2 linked regions of the Drosophila melanogaster genome follow. The protein of the gene in region 1 purifies or fractionates together with the protein of each later gene. This does not show direct contact. Each region holds a gene or a part of one and is shown on either strand. Other genes may lie near its edges.

Region 1 (10,866 bases):
TGAAGACCGAACACGAAGACCGAAGACGGGGCGCGGCAGGTGCAGATGGAAGAAACAATAAAATGCCCGCTTCTATTTGGCGGCAGCCAATTTGCATTCGATGCGACTTCGTCATAGCATAATTGGAATTCAAATTTGACGTGGGCTGGTGGGTTGGGTTGTTGTCATTCTGGCTCGCAACCAAAAATTGGAAACAATGACGAAACAGCAGTTGCAGCGGAAAGAAGCTACAGTAGATACTACTGCAAGAGTAACTCAAGCCAGTTGATTATCAATAAAAATTCTATACATTACGTATATTGTTCAAATAATTGAAAAATAGAAAAAAGATTTTAGTCAGCAGGTTTTCTCTTCTCAAAACTCTTCTTAAAATCTTAAAAATCAATTAAGCCTACGATGTATCTAAATCATTTTTTAACTTGAAATAAACACCACTAAGCAAACGCATACTATTTAATACCACTAGTTATCAACCATGTTATAAATTATCTTCATGCGGTGTAACTTTAATAAGTTTGAAGTGAAATGAGGAATTGGTTTATATTGCAAATTTCTATTGTATTTTTCCCTTTCCTGGTGGTTTCCGGTTATCCAGTTCAGCTTAAGTGCCTTAGCTAAAATTTCCAATGGCCCGAGATTGACTGTATCAATATAATTCTTGGCCAGGCACCAGATGGTCCCGTTCCCAAGGGTGAACCACCCCCATGCCGACCTCAAGCTTAACCACGCAACTCACCTGGAAGACTGTCAGCGGCATATGGAACTCGGCTCCGCCGGTTATGAGGAATCCCCACCGGCTGTCGTCCTTGGTGGCATACGCATCGGAGTCGACATCGAAGGCGGGATAGCCGTCCGTATCGCCGATGCCGCAGGACACCTTGATGATGGGCGCCTTTGACTTGGACTCCGGCACGGACCATAGCAGACCCAGTTGTTCCGGCATCGCTTTGTTTACCCGTTCTCTGGCGAAGAGATACCGGATCTCTTCCTGCTATCCGCTGGTTTTATTTATAAATTCGCACTCTTGCCGGCGGCACTCTTGCTTTTCTATTCTACCTTTCCACTTTTATATTGCTCTTTTTTTTAGCGCTGCGAAAGTTTTAGTTGCTCTTTTTTCCGATTGCTTGTTTGCGTTTGCCTGTCAAAATTCCGCCTGTGCAAAAATATTACTCGACTTTTGCCGGCTTTTCAACACAACCTGAAACTCGCTTACTTTCGAACTTTCTATTGAAAGTGAAGGAACTAGTTGAATGCCTGAACTTTGGGTAATTGTGCGACTTATATAATCAGCAGTCACGCATTGCACAACCCCAATCTCATTGGATCTTGGCCCGCAAAGTGGCGAAAAGTACGGAAACTCCGAAATTGTTGAATAACCAAGAATAAGCACGACTATGAGGGATAATTATGGAAAGTGTATTTAACGCTTTTTTTATGCCTGCTGCCTGGTTCTTTTGTTTTTCTTTTTTTTTTATTGTATTTTGTGGCTTCTCTTTCACTTCCACACGACTGCACTCGACTTGGGCAACTAAAATAATTTTCGAGAAGTTTTCCTTTGTGGCTGCATTTTTTCTATTTTCCCCATTCTCTCTCGCGCTTTTCCTCTGCTCCTCGTGGTCTGTTTTTCCTTTTTTTTTTTAGATAATGTGACGATGCAAAACTGTTGCATTCTTTGTTGCTTTTTTTTTTTGCCAAGTCGAAGCGTTTTTTGCTTTTGATTAAAGATCTTCTCAAATATACAAGTTTAAATTCACAAGTGCATTTGGTATTCATAGTCAAAGCATCAGCTGTTTTTTCTCTTTCCACTGTTATTAAGTTATTATTCATTGCTCAACAACGAGTATTAATTAAAGCTACGCATGCAAGCTAGTTTTATATTCAATCAAGAAAAGGAACTGGAGATGAAAGTAACAGATGATACCTTATAAATTTATTTATAAAATCACTACTCAAATACCAATTTGAAAATTCAAGCTTTTATAGTTCCCGAGATCATAGCGTTCATGCGGACAGACAGATGGACATACGGACATGTCCGGATATGCTAGTGATCCTGATCAAGAATATGTATACTATGTAGTTTCGGAAACGCTTTCCCTTACGTGTTATATACTTTTAAACGAATAAAGTAATTAATTCACGAGTAACATCCCAATTATTATCAACTAAGAAATGGTTAATTTAATTTACCTCTACCATAAAATCATATTTTAAAGCCTTTGCGCAGTTCATGTCCATACCCAACATCTTTGTGATGCACGTCAACTGCCAAGTTTAAAGCAGAATAAATAACTTGAACGTGCCAAGCTCACAGGCAAAGAATTCGACTTGTCAAATAAACAACAATGGAAATCAGAGTTCCATGTGTGGGAAATTTTCGGAGAAAGGCCCCAAAAAAGTGGCACACACCTGACAACGAAATTTCGATTAGCACAGGAAATACTACAAATGTGGATATGCTCATGTGTGTGATATGCATGTTTAAGGAATAGTTCGTACACATTTCTTTGACGTGGCCATAAAAGAGTGAACAAAACGTGCCTTATCAGCCGCAAAGCTGCAACAACAACAAATGGTGACAAACAAAGGGAGAAAACCGTAGGCGATTTTTTCGAGAAAATTTTTCAATATCCCAAACGTCGGAAAGGGCGCAAAATGCAGATGACACGAATCACAAAAAAGACTTCAGAAAACAAAAAAAAACAATTCGTTTAGCATATATGCATAGTTTTTCGTACGGAAACTAAAGAACATGCTGTGGTCAATTTCCTCGACTAACAGATACCCTAGCTTCAGTTTCAAAGAGAAGTTTCAAAGTTGGTTATAAGTATCGATCGAAATTCTCCAAAAGATTTTGTTGGTAATATTACAAAAAAAAATTTTATATTTCTAAATCCTTATTAACAAGATATTGGTTACCAAAGCGTTCTAAAATCACTTCAAGAATGCAGACCTTTTTTTAGTTCTCATGAGTAAATCATAAATTCAAAAGCGTAAACAAACATGAAACTGACATTTTTGCTCTGAGGTCAGACAACTTTGACGACTGCTGTCGTGATAAGGATGGTTTTTACTGATAATGAGGTAGATGACTAATGAGACAGGGGTTTCATGACTGAGGGAAACAAATTTCAGAAGAATTTTTAAATTTTTAGAATTCTTCTTTGCTTTTATTTAATTTATGAACGGTTGTATTGCTGTAGACGACCGGACTCTGGTAGAGTTTTACAAATCGCATACATATCCCTTATTTCAATTCTAGAATCTAGGGTAATACCGTTCTCCAAATCTCTGAAATCAGCATTTGGGCAAATCGTGGCCAGGAGCCCTATATTCCTGTTCCTCTCACCAGACCTGCGCCTTCTGACAGCGGACTCCGATTCTTCCTCGGATGCCATGATCAGCATAGAAGACGATTCCATTGAGCTGTCCATTTTATCGTTAACATTCTCATTGCTACCATCCGTGAGCTCATCATCTTCCGTGCTGTTACTAGTGTCCTTGGTAGCTCGCTTGCTGATAGTTTTCTCGATACTGCTCTTCAGATTCTGCTGCTTCGATAGCTCACTATAATCATTATACTCGGAATCCGATTCGGAGTCCTCCCAAATTGGGGGCAAAGGAAGTGCCGCGCTCAGCACAATGGCGGAGATTAGGAACAGCAAAACAGATCGACGCATCCCGGTAATCTTTGTATATCCTGGTAAACTCCACTATTCCACTAGCTTGATGGGTGGGTTCTTCTCGCTGAGACTGATTTTTTCGAACTGATTCTGGACAGCTGCACACGTTACCGGCGAAGCCTCAACAAATGTGCTATCGCCTCCTCGGCGATTATGTGATTATAGACTCAAATTCAATTGAGTCAGGCAGATAGTGGGTTTCAGAAATGACTCTTTATAATGCATGTAGATTGAAACAGACGCACTTAGTCCCTTAAAACAGACACGTAATGCATAATTTGACTTACACAATTAAATAAGCTAAGTTTCAATGTTAGGTGAGCTAATTTCCAAATGCATTTCAAGTAATGAAAATTGTAATAGTTAAATAATATGGCAAAATTAATTATTAGAAGAGGAAAATATTTCTTGTTGCTGATATTTATACGTGTTACTCGTAAACTTGAATAAACACACCCCATAAGTTAAAAAGTAAATAATACATAGGCAATAGCCTAATCTCTTGTTTTGATGACTCAGTCATTATAATAATAGTAAAAATGTAATATGGCTACGAAAACATAAGCTATAATGTTATTTATGTTTATTCAAAATCATTCGGCATAGGTGGCCTCGTTGGCCTCTTTGGAGCTAACCTCCATGACCTCGCATCCCTGGGCGTAGTCTTCGATGCTGGTGTTGTCCTTGTCCTTCAAAAGCTCCGCCACAGCCTGCGCCATCTGCTCGTCCAGTTCCTTCTCAGCCTGGGCATCCAGGTCCGGCGCATCGCTGGATTTCTGATCGGCAGCCTGGCGTCTTCGTCTAGACTCCCTTTGCTTACAAAAGCTTACGGCCCGGTCATATGCAGATTGTAGATTGAAATTCTTAATATCGAATTCTTTCAGTGACTGGCAAAAGGATCGCACCATCGTATCCTCCGTGCTTCTGCGTTTCCTAGCAGTGTGCTCCGTAGTTGTTTCTTCTACCGCAGCTGGTGTTGTCTTTTCCTCGGAGGAGGAATCGCCGGAGCTGTCCGCCTTGTTCTTGGCCTTGTCTTTGGCTTTGTCATTATGCTCCTCAGATGAGCTGCTGGCATCCTTGGCAGATCGTTTGATAATATGGATTCCGGTGCTCTCGTCCAGGTCCTGCAGTTCACCGCTGTCTTCGCTCAGCGTCAGCATCTGCTCCAGCCAATCCTCCTCGGATTTGGTTAGTCTTGAGGGCAGAGCCACTGCAGCACAGAAAAGGATGGCTGACACGGCCAGTAGTAACAGTGATCGCTGCATTGATCTAGTCCTTGTGGTATAACCTTTTAAGGTATGTAAACTCTCCTGTGCTCCTCTAGGCACACTTTGCGCCAAGACCTTATTTTGCAAACTGACTACGACCGATGGCAAAGATTTGCCAAGAAACCTCAAAAGTTCGTTTCTGTCCAGATTTTCAGATTACGGGTGCAACCGTAATTAAAGCTTCCATCAAATGCGAATGTATAAATACATATATTTCATATAGATTGCACATAACACTCTCTCCCATTTTCAGTTTCCGCGGCACTGCGCAATTTCCGAGTTTGCGCCAATTGCGAGTCCAGAAATCCAGACTCACTTGCATAATTCATGACAACAAATTGAGAGGCTGTGGAACGCGATGCACTATCGAGCTGCCAAAGTCAGGCCTGATAAGCCCACGGATCACTACAGATCATCCCGACGCGCAATTTGTAATTATTGATGCTACTTCAAAACAGATGAGCAAAAATGTATAAGTATAATCCGAGTACACAGCAAGCAAAAAATGTAAATTTACCAGTCACAGGTAATATTTTTGTATTCAGAATTATTTTAAAACAAATTTAAACACTCAAAATCTTGTTGAATACATAATATTTTTTTATTAGCTTTACAATTTTGTTTTATAGATAAATTCCTTAATTAAATATATATATAATATATATGTTAACTCATCTAATCTTTTAATGCTTTTCAGTGAAATCCATATTTGTTTTTAAAGAACGACCCACATAAATTGAACTTCTAATCTAAACAGCATATATATGTATATATAATTTCTGGGAAAAAATATAAAATTAAATTTATTAATGAAAAAATGAATTCCAAAGAGCTCCATTAAATCAAAAAATCCGAAAGTTAAGCGCTTGCCTATTTCTTCTTTTCATATAAGTAAAAGTAAGTAAAACGAAAACTTTTACCATAAAATTGTTTATCATTTTTTAATCTGTTCGATTTGTGTATCCAAAAGACTATCTTTTCCCGCGCTGTGTAGAGAAACACTCGTAAATTACAATTTTGCCGGCGCAACGTGCCAGCGTAATTGAAGCGTTTCGTGGAGGGAAAGTCAAGTTCAAGAGTTCTCCTAAGTATCCGACAGATACTGTAGACGCCTAAGCCAAAAATGCCACTTAAGACAGATAAGCAAACAAAAAAAAAAAGTGAAAGGATTCCCGAAAAGTTTCGGACTGAATGATAAATAGCAAAAGGATTCCCTTTCGGTTTCGCCGAAGAAGACGTGAGACGACTGGGAAGTGCGTCCACCGGTAGGTCACATGTGTCCACTGATGAGTGCCCAGTAGGGGCAATTATAGTGTCACCGGTGTTTACCCGACTATTAAATATCCATCAGAAAGTTGGCTATTATTCACCTGAAGGCGCGGCAATGGCAGCGTCTTAAATAACATCGAAAACAAATTTATTTAACAGCCATCAAAGGGGATTGGCCCATTGCGTCTGTCATAAAAAAAGTTATTTGCCCTCTTACTGCGGATCCAACTTATTGAATATGATTCCCAGATGTCCTCCGCAACATCAAAGGGAAAGCAGTGGATTGGGTGGAGCAAAGTCGCAGGCTCATGCATAATTTAAAGCAATTTGGCATTGTGCTGAATCAATTTCCACGCCCAGACAATCAAACGGAAAGTATTAAGACCCGAAATCCATTCCACGTGCTGCAGTGCTTCCCATGCAAATTATACTCTTCAGCACTGCAGCACTTTTATGTAAATCCTTGCTCCAGGCACCAGGTGCCGCTGCCCAAAATGGCAGTGAATTAAAGCGCCGACATTTTGTCATATTTATTAAAAATTTATCAATGTCATAAAGTTTACCGCACCCGGACAAAAAAAATTCCAAGAACACACGCACACAATGGGCAACGATCAATCAACTTTAAAGCCCTCGCAAGATTTACTTAGGTCCTCCAATTGGACCCCAGATGGTGCTTAAAGTCCGGCAGTTTCGCCTTAATTCCACACAAAGTTCGGTAATGGAGCTGTAGTTCTTAAAAATAAAAAATCGCCTTCTTATTAAGACTAAAGAATCTGTTTACACAAGTTCATATCATTTAAATTCATTTTGTTTATTGCTTAAGAACGTTTAATCTAAATGGATATAGTATTAGTATGTCAAGCCTAAAAGTATACCAGTTTTTCTTTAAATCAAATGCGTTCATTTATAACTTGTACTGCAAGAGCTTTGCAAAAAGTATTGGATATATGTATTTATTATTTATATATTTAAATTTTAATTAATCCATATTGACATAAACTTTTTATTACCTATTATTTAGCTTGAGTTATTTGTCACAATAAGATAGAAACTCAAAAACACAACACACCCACAGGTAACACAAAATAAACACACACAAAAAAATATAAAATAATAAAAACATTTAAAAACAACAAAAACACCAAAAAAAAAACAAAACACACACACACATTAACACCAAAAATGTCCCAGAATCATGCCTCTACGGAAGAAGTCTTGCACGTGGTGGAGGCCATCGAGGCAGGTGAAAAATCCGAGGTAGACACTGTTCCAGTGGTTGTGCCACCAGAATCAACAGCTGAGCCCGAAGTGATCTCCAAGCCAGAGGAGGGCAACCAACCAGCTGGCGATGAGCCGCGGGAGGAGAAGCCACAGATCGAATCTGGCGCAATTACCGCCCAGGTGGCGACGGAGGAGGGACAGGAAGCGGAAACCACCGAACACGTAGCTATCGAAGCAACTGAGCTTGGTAATGAAGTGCAGCAAACGGAAGCATCAGATGAACTATCGCCAGAAGAAAAGAAACTGAAGCTGAAGAAGGAGCGAAAGGAGCGTTTGAAGAATTTCGCAACCACTCGCTTTGCACCGACAGCAATCGAGAGCCCAGTTCATTTTACACCGGAATATATGGAAGAGATCAGGGATAATGAGGTAGAGGAAGAAGAGCAGGAACAGGTAGTCACCTTTGATGAGCCCACCATTGGAGACGGGGAGTCTGTGTCCTCGTCAGTTCTCACCGACGACTCAGAAGACTATCCATTCCATCCACCCAAATTGGTCAGCCTATTCCCCACCTATGGCTTCTCAGATGGCCCCGCTGATAGAAACATATTCCAATCGGATGTGAAGTATGAGGACATTGATTATTCGGTTAGTTTGACTGGCATAAGCATTGTATCGACAAGAACGTTAAAAACCGAATGCGATCCGGATTCAGTCCAGTTAAAAACCAACTTTCTGAGGGACTTTGATGTGCCCAGTCTGTCGGACATATCGGAGGAGCACGACGAGTCTTCACAGTCATTGGACGCTGGGTCGGTGATAAGCGTCCAGCAAGATCATGGCTTCTTTGCGGATCCAACGTCGAACATGGACTCCGGTTCCAGCTCGTCGTCGGAATCGATTGGAGACGTGGACAAAGAGCAACAGGCTGAGGAGGCGGCTCCAGAAAGTGAGGTCGACTCTTTCGATGTCTCCGACATACCGGAATTCGATGAAATTCCAGTCGTAAAAAGAGTGGAACAAAACCAAGATTCTATCGATGCATTCAGCACATTGTCAAAGGTTGCCTTTGCAGTTCCCGAGGTCCGAGACGATCCAGTCATTTCGCATGCTCTCGAGATCAAGGCGGTAGTCCGTGAACTACTGTACGACCTTTTCGAGGAGACGGCTAGTTTATCGGACATCCACAACAAGGACAATAAAATTCGGGCGAAATTGGACAAGAATAAGCTATTGACCGAGCTTGATAAAGTCATCACTACATATTTGTATGAGAAGTACACCAACGAAATGGTGGGCAATCGACTTGTGGAATATTATAAACGCAATCGCAATGCCCGTGTCTTCGCCACACTCTCGCCGGAAAATGAAAAACGATTCCACTCCCGATACATGCATGCCCTGGCCCTGCTTGACAGTCTGAAGTATCGACTGGATGTGGCCAAGCACAAGCACGCCATCCAGATGAACAGAGTGATCCTGGATCTCCACTCCGCCCAGAGTGTCGCCTCGATCACTGAGGAACGCTTGGAGCACCTGTTCCGGGAACACCTGGTCCGGCCCGAATCGGATAATCTGCGACGTTTAGTTGATCGCGAACTGAGAATGATGACAGCCAAGCGGAACGAGATCAGCGACTCCAGACTGTTTCTCATCACAAGAAAGCACACCTTAGGTCGCATTATGGGGGTAAGTCTGCCGTGGACTGCGAATTCCGCAGCAGTTTTTAACAAATTAACATTATTCTTCTGTGACTTGAGCAGAAAATCAAGGAACTTGACACACTGAGTGAGACCTTGAGTATCGAAGATTTCTTGTCCGTGCAAAATAATGTGTTTGCCCTGCAAAAGAAAATCGAGGGTGAGCACCATTATTGCCTAAAAAAAATACATGGGCTAATGAACAAATTTCCCGCAGAACGCAATACCGATCTGAAGAGGATGCGAACCCAGTTCCTCATGGACGTTCATCTCACGCGACACAATCGAGAAAAGGCGCTGGCTCTGGCGGAAAATTTTGAGCTAAGTAAAATCCGGTTGAAGAATGCCATGAAAAATCAGACAGACCTGCGTAGACGTCTCTACGAAGTGAAATTGGAGCGGAAGAAGATGCGTCAGCAGTCAAGGGATATGACCTTCCACGGCGGCATCCTGGCGATGCCCTCGCTGATGTACGACTACGACAACACTGTGGAGCGATTGAAGGAGAAGCGGGAAACGGTGGCCAAGCTCAGGGAAACCCTAAAGTCACTCCAACGTCGGCTCAGCTATGTAGAGGGAAGAAGTATATAGAGTTGTAAGAATCCACAAATCAATAAAACAGTACAATTTATAATAAAATCGTTTGGCTGCTTTTACTGTGACAATAAGTTGTAAATGGATTGAAAGAGCAATACTTGTACACCACTATAGTGTACCCTTCACAACATCTGTCTCGATGAAAAAACTGTCAAAAAAAGCATAGGGCCAGATACATAACAAATGTACACGAGTACACAACAACTCTATACATAAACACTAAAAATATAATAAAAAACAAAAAAAACAGCAAAAGCACATTAAAACAAATATAAAAAATACAAATACTTAAGATCGTATGCAAAAACGAAATAAGTAGTGAAGTAAATATATACATACACGATGGAAACGGAGAATAATGAAGAACCTCAGATTGATTTGTTGGAGGAAAACGAAGCGGTACGAAGCTTGGCTGATGAAGTTCTCTCGAGATTTTCAGGCGATAGTAAAAAGTCTGTTTCGGTGAATATTTCAATGGTTTCTATGTCATCAAATGAAAACAGTGAAGAAAGACTGAAAATCATTAGAAAGGAGGAAAGAAAATTGGCAATAAAGGACATCATGAATCGACTAAAGGAGCGTGACGCGGAGGAGATGAAAATGAAGAAGTCCGGCGAACAGGAGGGGGACCAAAGGGAAGACGAAATGGCCAGCAAGTCACAAGACAGTATTCAACGGCACATGTCCATTTCACAAGTGGAGGAGCAGGACGATGAAACATTGCTGTGGACCAAGCTGGGTGAGGATATCGACAGTGACAACAGAAGAACCACGGATATTGCTCCCGCAGCAGACACTTTGGACGCAGTTAATGCCGAGGACGAAGACATGCTCGATCTCATCGAAACCCCATCGGAATCTGATTCAGAAGCACCAGTGACCGAGAGGTCCAAGAGCATAGATCCCATGAAAGTGGCCGTTAAATCTTTAATGCTGGTGCCCAGTCTGTCGGATATTTCGCTGCCAAGTGCGCCGCCCACGTCAAGAAAGTCTTCCCATTCTATTAAATCGAACAGATCATTAATTTTTAAAAGTTCCCCAACCGATGGCAATTCAAGCTTCGATACCGAAGAGTCGGAAGAAGAATCCACCATTGGCCCCATTGATCCGCGTACTCCAATGGAT
Region 2 (14,331 bases), on another chromosome or scaffold:
GGTATGGTTATAGTGATTTAATAACTTAAAAATTATTTATTAATGAACTAGGCTTGATAGTTTATCAGGCATATTTGCAAATGATGACTTTTCGGCTGTGTTTACTTCTCACATCGATATGATTCGCCTGGAGAAATTAACAGGCTTTTCCAATCGAAATCTTGCTGTTCCCAATGAAAATGAGAATACATTTGCTAGAAAACGACATGCCATTACCCTAAAAGACTTGCAGAATAATATTGGGAATAGTGTTCTGCTGGATGAATCGAATAAGGACGTATCTATTAGGGAAATAAAGAGATCTTTCAACTTGAAAGCTCAAAAGCAGGATAGTATTAAAGGGTTAGAAACTAGAAGCATCAAAGGATTGGGATATCTTCCAGTGACTATGAATGCGTTGGATAATTGCCCTCATAAGGACAAAACCCTATGCCTAAATATTCGGGACGAGAAAGTACCAGGTGGTAATCCAAGCACTATATATGTATATATTCGAATTTTTTTAGTCATAATCTTATTTATTTAGAATTTAGTATAAAAGTGAAGATACCCTTTCGAGAAAATGCTTTCGTTATGCGCGATAAGCATATAGTGAAAATATCAAGAATCGTTACCGATGCAACCACAAAAGATGCGCTTCAAATTTCGATCGATGTTATAAACAATGGTTTTCAAGCCCAAGAATTCATCATACATATTTGCAATTGCAATATTTTAAAAAGTGGATCAGCATCGAATAGTGCCAGAAGATTATTACAGCCTTATATTGGCCAAACCATAATTTTTCTATTGCCCTTGATAGTAGGATCGAAGAAAAACAAGAAATACAACTGTGATGGTAGGTTTGAAATATATTTGTAATTATTTTAATGTGCTATCTAAACTTTAAAGTGATCGTTAAGGCGAGCACAGAACTTGATGACAATGATATCAATCTAGCGAAACCCGTTGACCCAAAAGTAGGCGTGGTTGCCAAAAGGACAATGGACATTAAATGCCACTCGAGGTGCTTTTGTGTTTGGCGTTGTCGATGTCACTGCATCGGAAAGCTGGAAACTTTCATAAACTACAATGCTTGTGAAAGAATGGATCCCAAGTCCGAGAAAGAGGCTGGACTCATCTACAATTGTCCACCGGGCAACGAGCCACAAGATGTGTGCATCAAGGACGTTTTCAGCGATCGAAATGAGGAGATAACTTGCAATCTCTCCTGTAAAGTAATAGCCATTGCATTGATAGTTCTGATTTTACTATTCATATTGGGTAAACCTATTATATACTGCTTTAAAATGCAATATAAAATATCTTTCTTTTCGCAGGACTTTTAAAGGCCATTCTCGGCATCTGCATTACTTGCATAGGTCGATTTGGCTTCGACACTGTACAGCCTGGCAGGACATACGAATACACATCCTGCATTAGGATCTTTTTGATCAACTGCTTCTTCTTCATCATATATCCCTTTGCCTGTTGGTTCAAATGCTTCCGACCAAAGGCGAAGGACCTCATAGATGCTAGTTCCGATTGGGATTGCATTTCCCAGGACGATGAAACACCCGAATGCTCCTGTAACGTAAGTGGAACAAACTATATGGATTTCCAAATTTGTATCTTATATAGATAAGAATTATGCTTTAGAAAAAGGAGTCCAGTTCAAGTTGCCGACTCCATGGTGGCCAGGATATACAAGATAATCTAGTGCTACCCTTTGCTCCACTGCATGAAAATGGTTTATTTAAGGACGAGAAGTCAGACGACGAGGAGAGTCATTTGTTTATCCTAGAAGTGTTGGAGGAAAGCAAATGTTCCCTGACCAAGATGGTAATTATGAATCGTTTTTTTTTTTTACAGAATATAAAGAGTTCTTCTTTGCAGATGAGTCAAGTCTTGGATCCTGGTCAGAATGTCGAGCAGGCCACTGAAAGTCCAAGTGTCGATGATATGGCGGCCGAAGAGTTTGTGGAAAGTCTGATGAACTCGCAATTGGCTTATAGAACATTGAGTTCGCCAGTTGGCGGAGTAGTAGACATCCCGAATAAGTATCAGTATTGCGTGAAAGGGTTCTTTGTGCAAACTATAAGCTCATCGTTTGAATTCATGAGCTTTCATCCATTGTCCCAGTTTGTGGGAATCACAGAGGAGGTAATTATTATATCATCTCATGTTAGTAGCTTATTACAAATATTTCCTTAGAACGAAGTAAGGACTCTGCCACAACCTCAATACATCCACTCCAATGAGTTCTCTAGAGTGTATGCTAATAAAATGGAGGTTCATAAGGCAGGTGATCTGTCAGTGGTTCCTCCACCGAATGTTCCTTGCATCAATATCGACCATGAAAATCACTTGGAAAGTTCCTTTGTTAAGCTTGCAGCGCAACAGGAGCAAATCAAAGCAAATCAGAAATAAAAAATTATAATCATTACTTATTTTTATTAAATTTTCAATAATTTACATTCTTAAGTTATATGCTAATTCAATGGAACGTTGTATGCAGAATGTTCATTATATGGAGTCGTTGTCTCTATATGTCCATCCATAGTTTCAGCTATTCCTGCCCTGATGTCTATTAAACCACTTCCATCTGAAACCTCACTTGAAGTATCCATTTTGATCTGGGACTCGGGTGAAGTAGTAGTTTTGTTATGTTCATCGTAGTACTTAATAAAGTAAACTTCCGTCTGATTCGGAAATGGACTGACTACATCCACTTGATGATTCGAAATTGGCTGGCTTATGGAAAACTCCGAACTTGTTTTCAGTAAAGCCTCCTCCCTTTGCAGTTCATCCTTTATAGTCTGGCCAGGATCCCTAAATTCGTATACGGATGTATTTTCAGATGCCTGACCCTGGTGCTCATCCGGGGAATCGTAGATGAATCCACCATTGTCCACCGCTGAGGACAAAGGATTGACTGACACAACTTCTCGATTGCTATGCTGCTGATTGCTTTCATATGCGATATGCGATGGCCGAGGGTCGATTGGGGAGTATGGTTGACCTACTGAATTAACAACATTGTGGGCGTTGAAATCAGATTGAGATTGAGTCACATAATTTATGATCGGTTTTGGAGTGGAATTGGGCACAATGTAGTGGTAATGTATGTGCTGAACTGGTCGTGGGTTTTGTATTTGCAATTGAAAATCTGATGAGTAAGTGGATTGAGTGTTTACTTGTGATCCGTACTTTATATGCGTAGCTGATGGGTTTTCATTGATCTTGGCTTCTGGAGCAGCATTTAATTGAGAAATATCATGGGGACAGGGATTTTCTGGATCAGTACTCGATGTGCGAGTTGTTTCACCTAAATAACTTGGCGGTGGCAGGATGTTCTGATTAATTTCTTTCTGATTTACGCGGTTTACGATTCTCCCAATCGACTGAGCTTCAATAAGAGAGTTTTTTGTTGAATTATATGTATTATTATCTTTATGAACGGCAGCACACTCTCCGTGGAAACTTCCAAATAAAATTATACTATACGCCACAAGCACTCTTATCCAAAGCATTTTTTTTTTTTGTATGAAGTGAACAAATGTTTTCACAAGAGACTATCAACAACTGTCTTTAATCCGCTTTGCATTCGGACTTTATATGGATTCCAGATTACATAAATACACTCTGAATTGCTCGGATTATGTCAACGAATCCCAACTATGGGCCTTATCCAAAGCGAGCTTAATTTGCTTGTTTTTCGGTGAAAGTCAAATCGAATGCAATTAATAGAGGCTTGATTTGCGTGGGTTGTCAAATTAATACGTTCATAAAACCAACCAATTGTATAAAAGTTTCTCTGAAAGAGTATGAATATAAACAAAAAGCAGTGAAAGCGTAATATTTTCTCAACTTTAAGAGTTTAAAAACCATTGTACATTTGGGAACTTTTCAAACCCCCCACACAACAGGCGGCCAATGAATAACAACTAGATGCGTTACTTAGCTCTTTATAAAGATTTTATTACTATAAAATGTATTACAACAAATATGTAAAATGACAATAAAATGAGGAGAAAATACACTATTACACACATATATATGCTTTGCGAATGTAGTTAAGCCTAAAACTTAGCCCCATATTGTTGGCAGGGCATTATAGTGTTACTTAATATAAATGCAAAATCACTGTAAAAATTTCAAACTTAAGGTACTACTAAAATTATTATTTATTACTTGTTTATTATTCATATTTAGATTCGATTGATATATAAGACATATATGTATGTATGTTTTTTGTGGTTTTATATTTTGTATATTTTCATGACCTATGAATGAGCTATGCAGAGACACTTTAATATCGGCTTTCGGTTTTCGGCTTCCTAGCAAATGGTTTTAACAGGTGGTTTCTAAAAGTGGATCAGGCTTATAAGTACTCGTAAAGGGGTTTACATTATTAACAATTGTGGAATCTTTGGGGCCTCGTTGTAGGGATATAAAGTCTTCAAGGTGGCTTGTACTCTGCACTGCGGCATCCCTACTCACATGAAATTTGTCCATCTTGTGAGGGGCAACCAGGTGAGCCTCGCCCACGCCATCAGATGTCGGAATTTTGCTAACGTTACGATCGCTGAGGGATAATGAGATGTTTTTCTCCAAAGGCGGTTCACGGATCTGCTCGGACAGTCGACGGATGTTCAGGGGTAGTTCATCCTTCGATTGAGTGGGAATCGATAGGGAGCTGTGTCTAGAATGCAGCTTTTCTACTTGAAGCAATAATCTTGCTTGAACATTCGGACACAGCAAATTACTATTGTTTTGTTGTACAGATTTTCTAACATGGTTCGGCAATGGACTGGATATCTCCTTCACCTTGTCCGGTAAAAAACTAGCTGACTTGCTTTGAATGTTGGCTTTCAGATCGTTAGAAGGCTGGTCGAGAGACCAGATTTTATGCGACGTGTTGCGATATTGCGGAGAGAATGGAGCAAAAAGCAATCCTGGCTCATTTAAAAATACTTGATCATCGTCCAGCTCCGTTTTCGAATGCTTCAACTGCGGCTTTGCACACTTTGATTTCTCAGTTCTGGTCGAAATTAGTTTATTGTTTATGGAAGAAAGGGATTTTTCGCGGTAGAAATTTTTCTTGGGAAGCCGTGAGATTTCCACAGCAGCATCTGTTTGTCTCTTGACCCACGGATCGATATTGTGATGCATGGTGTTTGAATACTTTTCCGTTTTGGGGGACAAGCTGTTCTTAATATGCGAGTTCTTTATCCATGGATCCGAAGGATACACCAAACAGCCCGTACTCCTATTGTTCGTATCGTAGAGAAAGTTAGCTTTGTCTAGCTCCAAGTTGTTTGGGGAAGTTTGCTCCGATTTGCTAATCTTATGGGTAAGCTGTCGATAAAATTGATTGTCTGAATTACTGGAGAGCTGCCTTGCTGTTTGGGTACCTAATCGCGAAGACTTCGTGTTCTCACTGTCGTCGGAAATTATGATGGCCTGTTGAAACCCACTCTTGTGTAACGTCAGTCTCGGAGACAGCGATTTTTGCTCCTTTCCAATTACACTTTTCAATTGCAAACAACCCTCGGTTGAATTATCTAATGCGTTTTTTTCCGACGCTGAAGAGAGTTTCGGGTCTTTTAATTTACTAATGGTAGATTTGTTACCAGTATCTGAGCTCAGTTTAATTTTGATTTCTTCGTTTGCTTCCGCTTCTGAGCCATTCGATTTTTGGGCCTTCTCGCAGTTGCATATTAGAGTTGATGAAATGGATAAGACGTTTTGACTGTCCTTTAGAGATCGGTTAGATGCCACTCTTTTTATACTTTCAGTGTCGATTTGTTGGGACACTTTGTTATTTAGATATCGACCGGAAAGTTGGGTATGCTGGCTATTTATATGTATATTAGCATTCATTGGTGAATGTGGAGAAAGTACTGGAAGTGTTGGAGCAATATTTGGTTGTTTTAAACGAGAAACAAAGAAGCCGTTCGACTTCATATCGGTTAATGGTGGGTCATCTTTCCTATTTTGTTTACTATGTCTGTTTCCGCACGATTTACTTGATAGTTCCCTGCTTGGGAACTGTGGTGAGAAGGGTTGGGCTTTTGAATATGAGCCCGACTGTTTTTGCTAAAGAAACTTCTGCTCGAGAGCTTTAGTAGAACTCTGGCTGGAATTTGAGGCACCTGCAAGAAGAGCGAACACACACACATTAGACATTAGCTGATCACAAATTAGAGAGAAAGTTACAAATCATAAATGGTAAGAAGATATTCACTGTTTTTCCTAAAAGCGTAGAAGCCAAACAATAAAGTGGTTGCAAGTAGAAAACAGTTCACTTTCAAAGTATCAAAAAATTACTTTATTCAAACTTCTTGTCCTTAAATATTAAAACCATATTACTGTAGCATATTGCTAACAGATCGTTTTAGAACTTAATGCGGTTATTGTTTGATTTTTCTACCAATATGGTTAAGTATAAGATGATATGACCTATGCTTATTCAATTAATACGGGGACCAGGATCACAATGCTGTAAGAATGGGGATCTTGGTGCAAGTCTCCTGACAACTAGTTAATTATAATCTTTTAAAAAATGCAATTCTCGAATGTATTGATGCGGCTGAATAAATAATTACATTGCAATACTTATAGTTAATTACAAACCATCGTTTTCAATCCGTTTGACATTTGTGTCCACATTCTTTTTACTTGTTTCGCTTCCTGCCGCAGGGGCAGGATTCGGGTGCTTTGAACTTAGGGACGCACTACCGGCGGCAGGGTTTGAATTAGATATTACGCCCGATGTAGTGTCGCTAACGCCTCCGTCCACATTATTCTTTAATTGTCATTTGACGAGTTCCACCGAAAGAAATTTGCGCAGTCGCTCGTAATAATGCGGATGCAGTTCCACATCATTATGTCCAGCACCCTGAAATCAAAGTTTCTCATGAGTTTGCAAATTAGGCTAAGTTTTAAGTCATATCATTAAATAAATAAATAAGAATCGATACGATGAGATCACATTGCTGAGAAAGATTGATTGAATTGCCAATTTTAATGTTTATGAAAAGCTGTGAACTTGATACGAGACACTTAATCGATTTCAGGGAAAACGCTAGACTATTAGAATGAATAATAACAATAATTATTCCGGTTAAAATGCTGCTTAATAAGTGCATAACCTGCTCTAGGCGGGTAATCAATCAAGAGTAATTACCTCCACCCAAAACGGCTCGACAGTCTTAGGACACCGCTCGTAGATTCCGATGCCATGGGAAAAGTCAATGACCTCATCATCGGTGCCGTGGATAACCAGAACCGGAGCCTTCACCTTAGCCACCTTATCAATGCTGCGTGGAAATCCGATAACATTAGAATTGGCTATGAACGCAATTCAACGAATTATCTCACCTGGGAAAGGCGTCGAAGAACCAGGTTCTCTTTGTGTTCCTAAAGACGACCCTTAGGCCGGACATCAGCGGCGAATGGAGTATCACAGCGCCGACCTCGTGACGCGAGGCCAGGTCCACAGTGGGCACAGTGCCAATGCTTTGGCCATACAAGATGATTGTCTCCGGGCTGATGTTGAATCTGGTTTGAGGGTGCATAACGAGTTAGCAAAGCGGAATCAATGGGGTGAACTAGAAGAGCTTACCTGGTTCTCATCGCCTGCCAGGCAGCCTCGATGTCCGCATACAGATTCTTCTCGGACGGCTTGCCGCCACTCATTCCGTACCCGGAGTAGTCGTACCCAAAGATATTGCAGTTGATCTGGGAGCCCAGGGTCAGGTAGAAGCTGCTCATTTGGCCCAAATCCACTGCATTCCCGTGGGAGAAGAGAAGTGTGTACTTGGCATTCTTGCTGCACCTGACATAGATGCAGGTGATCAGGTTGCCACGCGAGGTGCGCGTAAAGAAGGCCTCCACTTTCGATTTCTCACGTTCAGAGTACTGCCACTCGGCGCGGTCGAACAACTGCAGGTTGTACCGGATGTTGGTGTCGTCCGCCGGGGTCAATTTGTACGTGGGCTCCGGCGGCTGGAAGGCCAACTTGGCCGCAATGGGACCCGGACACGGGGGGCAGCAAAACATGCAACAGAGCTCGCTGATACTGAACATGCTCGCTCCGTGCCTTGAATGTCTCTACGGAATGCTAACGATTTCGATTTCTCGCCTCAAATGCACGATTACCATCAACAAAGGACTAACGGAGTTTTTGGGTTCAGACTTCGGGTTCGGGCCAATTCGCGTCTATATCATCTATACGTGGACGAGCAAGATGTCAGTGGGCTAGGCGACGGGGGTGACGAGACAAACATAACATTTCGGGCTCAGTTCGCACACAGAATTCAACATAATCGAACGGTTAATGGGTAAATTGTCTTACTGAAATTTGGTACACTCACATTTACAAAATGGCAATGTAGATAGGCAAACAACCACAAAGAAGTAAGGTGGCTAAAACGCCCTAAAAAACAACGGCGCTTTTGGTATTTTTAGTGTGACCGCCTGGGCAGCGAGTACAAAACACCAGCGAATCGAATCTCTATTTTCCCCAGAACGAACTGGAATCGGAACGAGGGATATATTTATTCATTCATATTCATTTGCCTTGTTAGGCAAATACATTTCAATAATGATGATTTAAAACCTGTCATGAAATGTGTGCCTGCAAATCTGCAAATAGTTTTTAAAAACTCTCACAAAGCGTGTTCAAAAATGCAGACCACCTTAGAGGAATATTTTAAAGTAAATTTGGGGAAAATTTTATATAAAAAGTATCCACAGTTTTTGAGATGTGTCCAGCTATGAAGTAGCCCATATATATAAGAGCCCTTAAATATTTTGTGCATGTAAATCGGATTTGTTTCAATATTATCTGCTTCAATACTTTATAAAGTTATGTCATACATAACTCTTCACGTTTATGTACATAACGAATGTTTGTATGCACATTTTTCAAATTTGGTACATAATACGTAGTCCTACAACTAATTGGTTGTACCAAACCAAAATTGTTTCCTACTTTTATAGTTTCTATGGAGAAAGGATTTCACCCGGGCTCATTTGAAGAATCCTAGTTTGGTAATAAACATATTTAGAGAATGCTATTCCATAAGACCAATGCGCATAAAACAACCTGATCTTATCCCATGCATAAAACAACCTGATATTATCCCATGACTTTAAGGATGTTAAGTAATAATGTGTATTGTATTAATATTGGCCAATAGACTTATGTTTTGAATATTACAGTTTCATCTGGAAGATCAAAATAATAACCTGAGATCAAAAACACTTAAGTTTACAGGACTTTCCCTAGATAAAAGCAACTTTCAACCATTTTTTCGTTAAAATATTTTCTGTAGATCATTGAATTTATGTAGTAAAGTATTTCAAAATTCGGCTTCCAAGTCTGTGCCACCTTTCTTGTAAGACATAACAAACTACATTCCGCGCCGTATCGACCGACGACCCCGCTCCCCCTTCTTTCCAATGGGTGTTTTATAATGTATGTGGAAGTGGATGTGGATATGGATATGGATGGTAGCGAAGGCGAGGTGTTCCGACTAGGGTTGAAGTCAAACATATGTAAGGATGATTGACAGCTAATGGAAACAAAAGCAATTCGAATACGTGTGTGTGCATGTGTGAGATGCAAATGATTTGCAAAACAAGGTAGGAAGGCAAGTTAACCATTGCGGACCTATTTTCGACCTGTAATCGAATTAATCGGCGTCTATTTATATATTTACAACCTGTAGTTTGTTTTCGAGCTGCAATTATCTAAGGAACCAAATAGATTGGATGTTAGTTATGTACATAAGTATATTCCCTGTGGCAATAGGAATTGCAAATAATACACAGTTTAAACTTCACGACGGAGATAATAATTATGGGTTTTACACATTATTCTAATGGTAAACTAAAATAAAAAAATAAAGTATCGGGTGCTACAGCTAGACTTCACAGACCTACATAGTTGTATAGTTTAAACAAACATTTAATACAATTATAGGCAGTTCTTTATTGACTTTAGAGATCTTCTAAACTCAACTGTTTACAATACGGCTTCGTTTAAATAAGATGAGTACACAAGTAAATAACATAAGATTACAATAATAGGACCACTAGTGAGTATGTTTTAGACATAGCTTGGTTTAACTCTAGTTTAACTATAACTTTCATAATCAAAAGACGGGCAACGGGCCGTTATGAAAAAGCGGCGGTGTTTTCTGGTAGCAAGGTATGTTGCCATATTGGCCGTTGTAGAAAAAACTTGGGAAGTATAACTGATACTGCGCGGCGAGTTCGTTGAAATTGAATGGCAAATTAAACGGCGGCTTTTCCAACGCGACGGCATCGGGACTGCCGTACTCCATGGGCACTAATCCCTCATTTGGCGTGCTCGCCGGATCCGGAGCCATGAGACTCTCGATGGTGAAGGCGCGCTTTGGCCGCGCCGGAAGTTGGGTCACAGTCGTCGGAAGGATCGGCGGAGTAGCCTTGTAGGGTGACATTTGGGCAGCAGATGCATTGGCGAGCACATGACCATGCCGCGCCGGATCGGCAAAGGCCATCTGCGTTAGCTGATCGTCCAGATAGTGGGTCACCATCTCCGTATTGGCGGCGGCGGCTAATTTCCAGTTCGAAATATCCTTCTCGAGCTGCTTGACGCGGAAACGTTTTCGCCGCCGCAGCAGGCTGCCATTCTCGAACATATCGAAGGCCATGGGATGAAGTGTCCAGTAGGAGCCCTTGCCGGCCTTGGTCACATTCCTCGGCACCTTGATGAAGCAATCGTTGAAGCTGAGATTGTGCCGCAGTGAGTTTTGCCACTTTTGCGTGTTCTTCCGGTAGAATGGAAACTGATCCATTATAAATCGATATATCTCACTGAGCGGCAGCAATCTTTGCGGCGAGTGTATTATGGCCATGGCCGTTAATGATATGTACGAGTAGGGAGGCTTCTGATCACCGTAGCTCATTTTCAATGGGCGTGGCATTGCGAAGAAGTCGTTTCAAAAATTCACACAATCGTTCCCCGTCCGCACCAAATAATTCCTTATGGGGTTTTTTTTTTTTTTTTTGAACTTCAGAGCGATGTTTTCTCGGCGGCAGCAGCGTTAAGACTAATGCGAGGGGCAGCAAAACTTCATGTTTTATGGAACTGGCTGCTCGCAAAGAGCAAGACCGGATTTGGAGAGCTGCCTCTCGCACACATGCCCATGCCCAACCGGTGGTGGTATGTCAACTATCCACAATCCAGTATCCAGTACTCACTATGCCGAGCGAGAAGGCAATGTTGGCCAAAACAGGTCTCGGATCTGGTTGTCCTTGTCTGAGCGGCGTGCCAATGGGAATCGAAGGTGTTGTTTACGGCGAATTTCGAAATGGGTTGCCCGGAGAGTTTGGACCAATCATCGCGTATGCGATTACCCACACACAATATAGCCTAACACCAGGAGCAGCGTGGCGGAAAAGCGTTTTGTCCCGGCGACAAGGCAACAACGGCAATAAGGCCCCATTTTTTTCCCATCGCCATTTTCAATTTTCGTCGAGATAGCAGCACAATCGCATTCACATATGTGCAAATGTGCTGCAAAAGCACAATTGCAAGGGGAAAGCCCTTGATTTGCAAGCTTTTGTCAATACCTGTTTATTTTATATGAATTGTGGGCGGGTCGGAACATGAAATAATAAAGGAAACGCTCGTATTTCACTTCCCATCGTATTGCTTCGCTTCAGAAAATGATTTAAATTGTTTTGGCTTTTGCATGAAATTGAAAAATAAATTATGAGCACCAGCGTATTTGCATTATCTTGTACGTTTGCCAGCTTTAGTTGAACATATCCGTACAAATAAATTAAGGTGCTTTCCGTTTTATATTTATGTAGAGATAACATGTACTATTCATACTTAAATTTTTTAAGGATAGAACTTAATAAAAATTGTAAGCTAAGATATTTTTATCATATTTGTACTTTGTTTGTTTTTTATTATTGCTAGATAGGCTACAAAAAGCTATTGCACGATTGATTTGCTACTAACAAATTTTAATTCTTATGTTACTAACTGATGTCAATGTTTATTTATTATCTTATAACTTGTAATCATGATTTTGAATATCATATAAATAGTAAATTGATCTTTGAATAAAAATTATATATTCGATTTGGTCGTTAGGGGCTTAAATTTAATGTAAATGTCAGCAGTTGGATGACACTTCTTAAACTCATAACACACTCTAATTAATTTAGGAAAAATTATTATTAAATCTATATGAAATCTAAATCTATATGGCAGCTGAACTACTTCTTACACGGAGTGTCTGCAGCCTTATGGAAGCCAAAAAAAAAATACAAATCACAAAAATATCGGTTTTTAAGGTGTTTCAGTCTTCTTCCGTTTAATGATCCCCTTCATTTCCTGCAGTGGATTTTAAATAATCCTGTGGTTTAATTACTATTATTAATGGGACAGTGTAAGCAAAAATACAAGGCTTATGATAAATATGAATATAGTGGTAGTCAATATTTTTTTACAGAATTAAATTGTTATAAATGTACTCGGAATTAAGCAAATATTTTACTTCCAACCGTCTCTTAGCTTGTTAATAGCTTAAGTCGTTTAAATTGTTCTGTTGACTTGGAGAATTAAAGTTAATGGGATTGAGGAGATTATTTGCAGTCAAGCTTGAAGTTAATTTCCACATAACATATAAGAGCAAGAAAAAATATCTAATGCATCGCCTTCCAATAACATATTTATCATTTCTTCAACTGTCCAAAGAAAAACACCATGCTATTTACCCAACGAGTAGTAATGAATACGGCAATAAATAACAATAATTTAGAAGCAACGCTCTACTAACTCAAAGATCCCTCTCCAGACTGCCAATGAGATAATTGAGGTGTGAGCAGAGAATAAGAAGGGGTCTTCTTTTTATTCGTTCGTTAATTAACGAACTTGGTGTCTAGCTTCCTTAGTTAATCTCAGCGTTTAGGCGTGCATGCTAATTTACATAATCTGTATGCACTTAGGTACACAATTAAGTATTTAAATCCATTGAATTTAAATATTTGCTTTATTACACAGCAAATACCGAAATTAAAGACAAAAAAATTAAAATCTTAACTAAAATATATCAATTTTATAAAATCATATCTAGGATAAGTCAAGTCCATACTATTGATATATTTTCAGTTTTCTGGTGAAAATGCCGGAAATGGGCGTGAAATTATTTCAAAAAAAGGAAAACTATATGCATTTTGGAAATGGTAATGTTGTGTAATGACTTTTTATTGATCTTCATCACGTCGGAGCGGTAAAAAGTCGAGCTAAACACGATCCTTGTGGTCTTTTTAGTGTCAAAGATGCCAGCATTCATTGCAGTCGACAGATGGCCAAGATGGGCCGTTAAGGCCAGGCCAAGTGAAAAGGTGGTGTTCTGTGCCATTAACGCGAAGAGCTGTTGAAATCGTTGTATGTGCTCAGGCTTTCAGTCAAAACAACTACTCGGTCGGTCGGTCGGTCGGTCGGTAATCACCAATCGATAAGTTTTTCTCCTCTTTTCCTTTTCCCTTTCCTTTTCCTGTCGACTCTTTTTTAGCACACCGAAATTCGCAGCGCTGAGATGAAAGCTGCTCGACCCATAAACTAAATCAATTTAGTTATTTCCGTCCTACGGCTGCTTGCCTCGTTAATGAAGATTAGCGCTGCGATGAAGATCGGACTGTAGAGTCTCGTAGAGAGTTGGCTATAATGCGATTCCATATGGCCGTAATGCTACCACTACTCGCATTGCCAGCATGTAAATGCGGATAATTCCCAGCGAGTTGTTGCCTTTTTTTTTTTGTTTTGGCCATCAAATAACATATTTAGCCATATTATATCGATTTAGGGCACTGTACGTCCCAAAAAAAAAAACAAAAACAAAAACAACAAGAACAAAAATCGGGTGCGAAGACAAGATCTCTGTTGGTGTCGGGATAATAACCGTCAGTATTTATTTTTCCTATGTGTTGGGATCTTGCCGGCTTTGTATTGCTTTATACTCGCCAGGAATAAATGTTTGAACACAACAGGCCGCCAATTTATTGAAGGCTAACACACTAATTTGAGGAGTTGAGTTGTGTTTACCCCGAGGATGTCTGTATGTCTCTATGGCCAGGCATGTATATACATATGTATATACGCATGTGTATCCGAGTGAATCTTCCCGACAAAGCTTAAGTGCAGTGTTCATGCTTCTACCTGCAACATGGGAAATCTGAGGCATCCTGCCCGGTTGGAATTTTGCTGGCATCAAGCTCGCGATTTTATATCCGCTCATTTGTTTTATTGGTCTGCAAAATCACTATATAACTATCCAT

What was found.
Region 2: the proteins of CG4716 (region 1) and CG33096 purify together in Drosophila melanogaster (affinity purification with mass spectrometry, with the first as the bait; one large-scale study listed by BioGRID). This does not show direct contact.

What each region holds. Positions count from the first base shown.
Region 1 is NT_033778.4:13,250,765-13,261,630, reverse strand, and holds CG4716 (uncharacterized protein), read right to left. Parts: upstream 5,045-10,866; 5' UTR 4,949-5,044; coding exon 4,277-4,948; 3' UTR 4,185-4,276; downstream 1-4,184. Other genes in the region: CG42319 (uncharacterized protein), read right to left, coding at 737-943; CG10799 (uncharacterized protein), read right to left, coding at 3,180-3,680; CG4714 (uncharacterized protein), read left to right, coding at 7,406-9,133, 9,208-9,304, 9,362-9,735; CG4712 (uncharacterized protein), read left to right, coding at 10,084-10,866.
Region 2 is NT_033777.3:25,091,748-25,106,078, reverse strand, and holds CG33096 (uncharacterized protein), read right to left. Parts: upstream 8,408-14,331; 5' UTR 8,074-8,407; coding exon 7,610-8,073; intron 7,546-7,609; coding exon 7,366-7,545; intron 7,305-7,365; coding exon 7,172-7,304; intron 6,884-7,171; coding exon 6,800-6,883; coding exon of another isoform or gene 6,611-6,799; exon of another isoform or gene 6,294-6,610; intron 6,138-6,293; 3' UTR 5,950-6,137; coding exon of another isoform or gene 4,333-5,949; 3' UTR 3,933-4,332; downstream 1-3,932. Other genes in the region: CG34027 (uncharacterized protein), read left to right, coding at 52-461, 527-838, 892-1,263, 1,320-1,573, 1,639-1,821, 1,876-2,142, 2,194-2,409; CG45095 (uncharacterized protein), read right to left, coding at 2,472-3,512; CG33095 (uncharacterized protein), read right to left, coding at 4,333-5,949; fd96Cb (forkhead domain 96Cb), read right to left, coding at 10,146-10,961.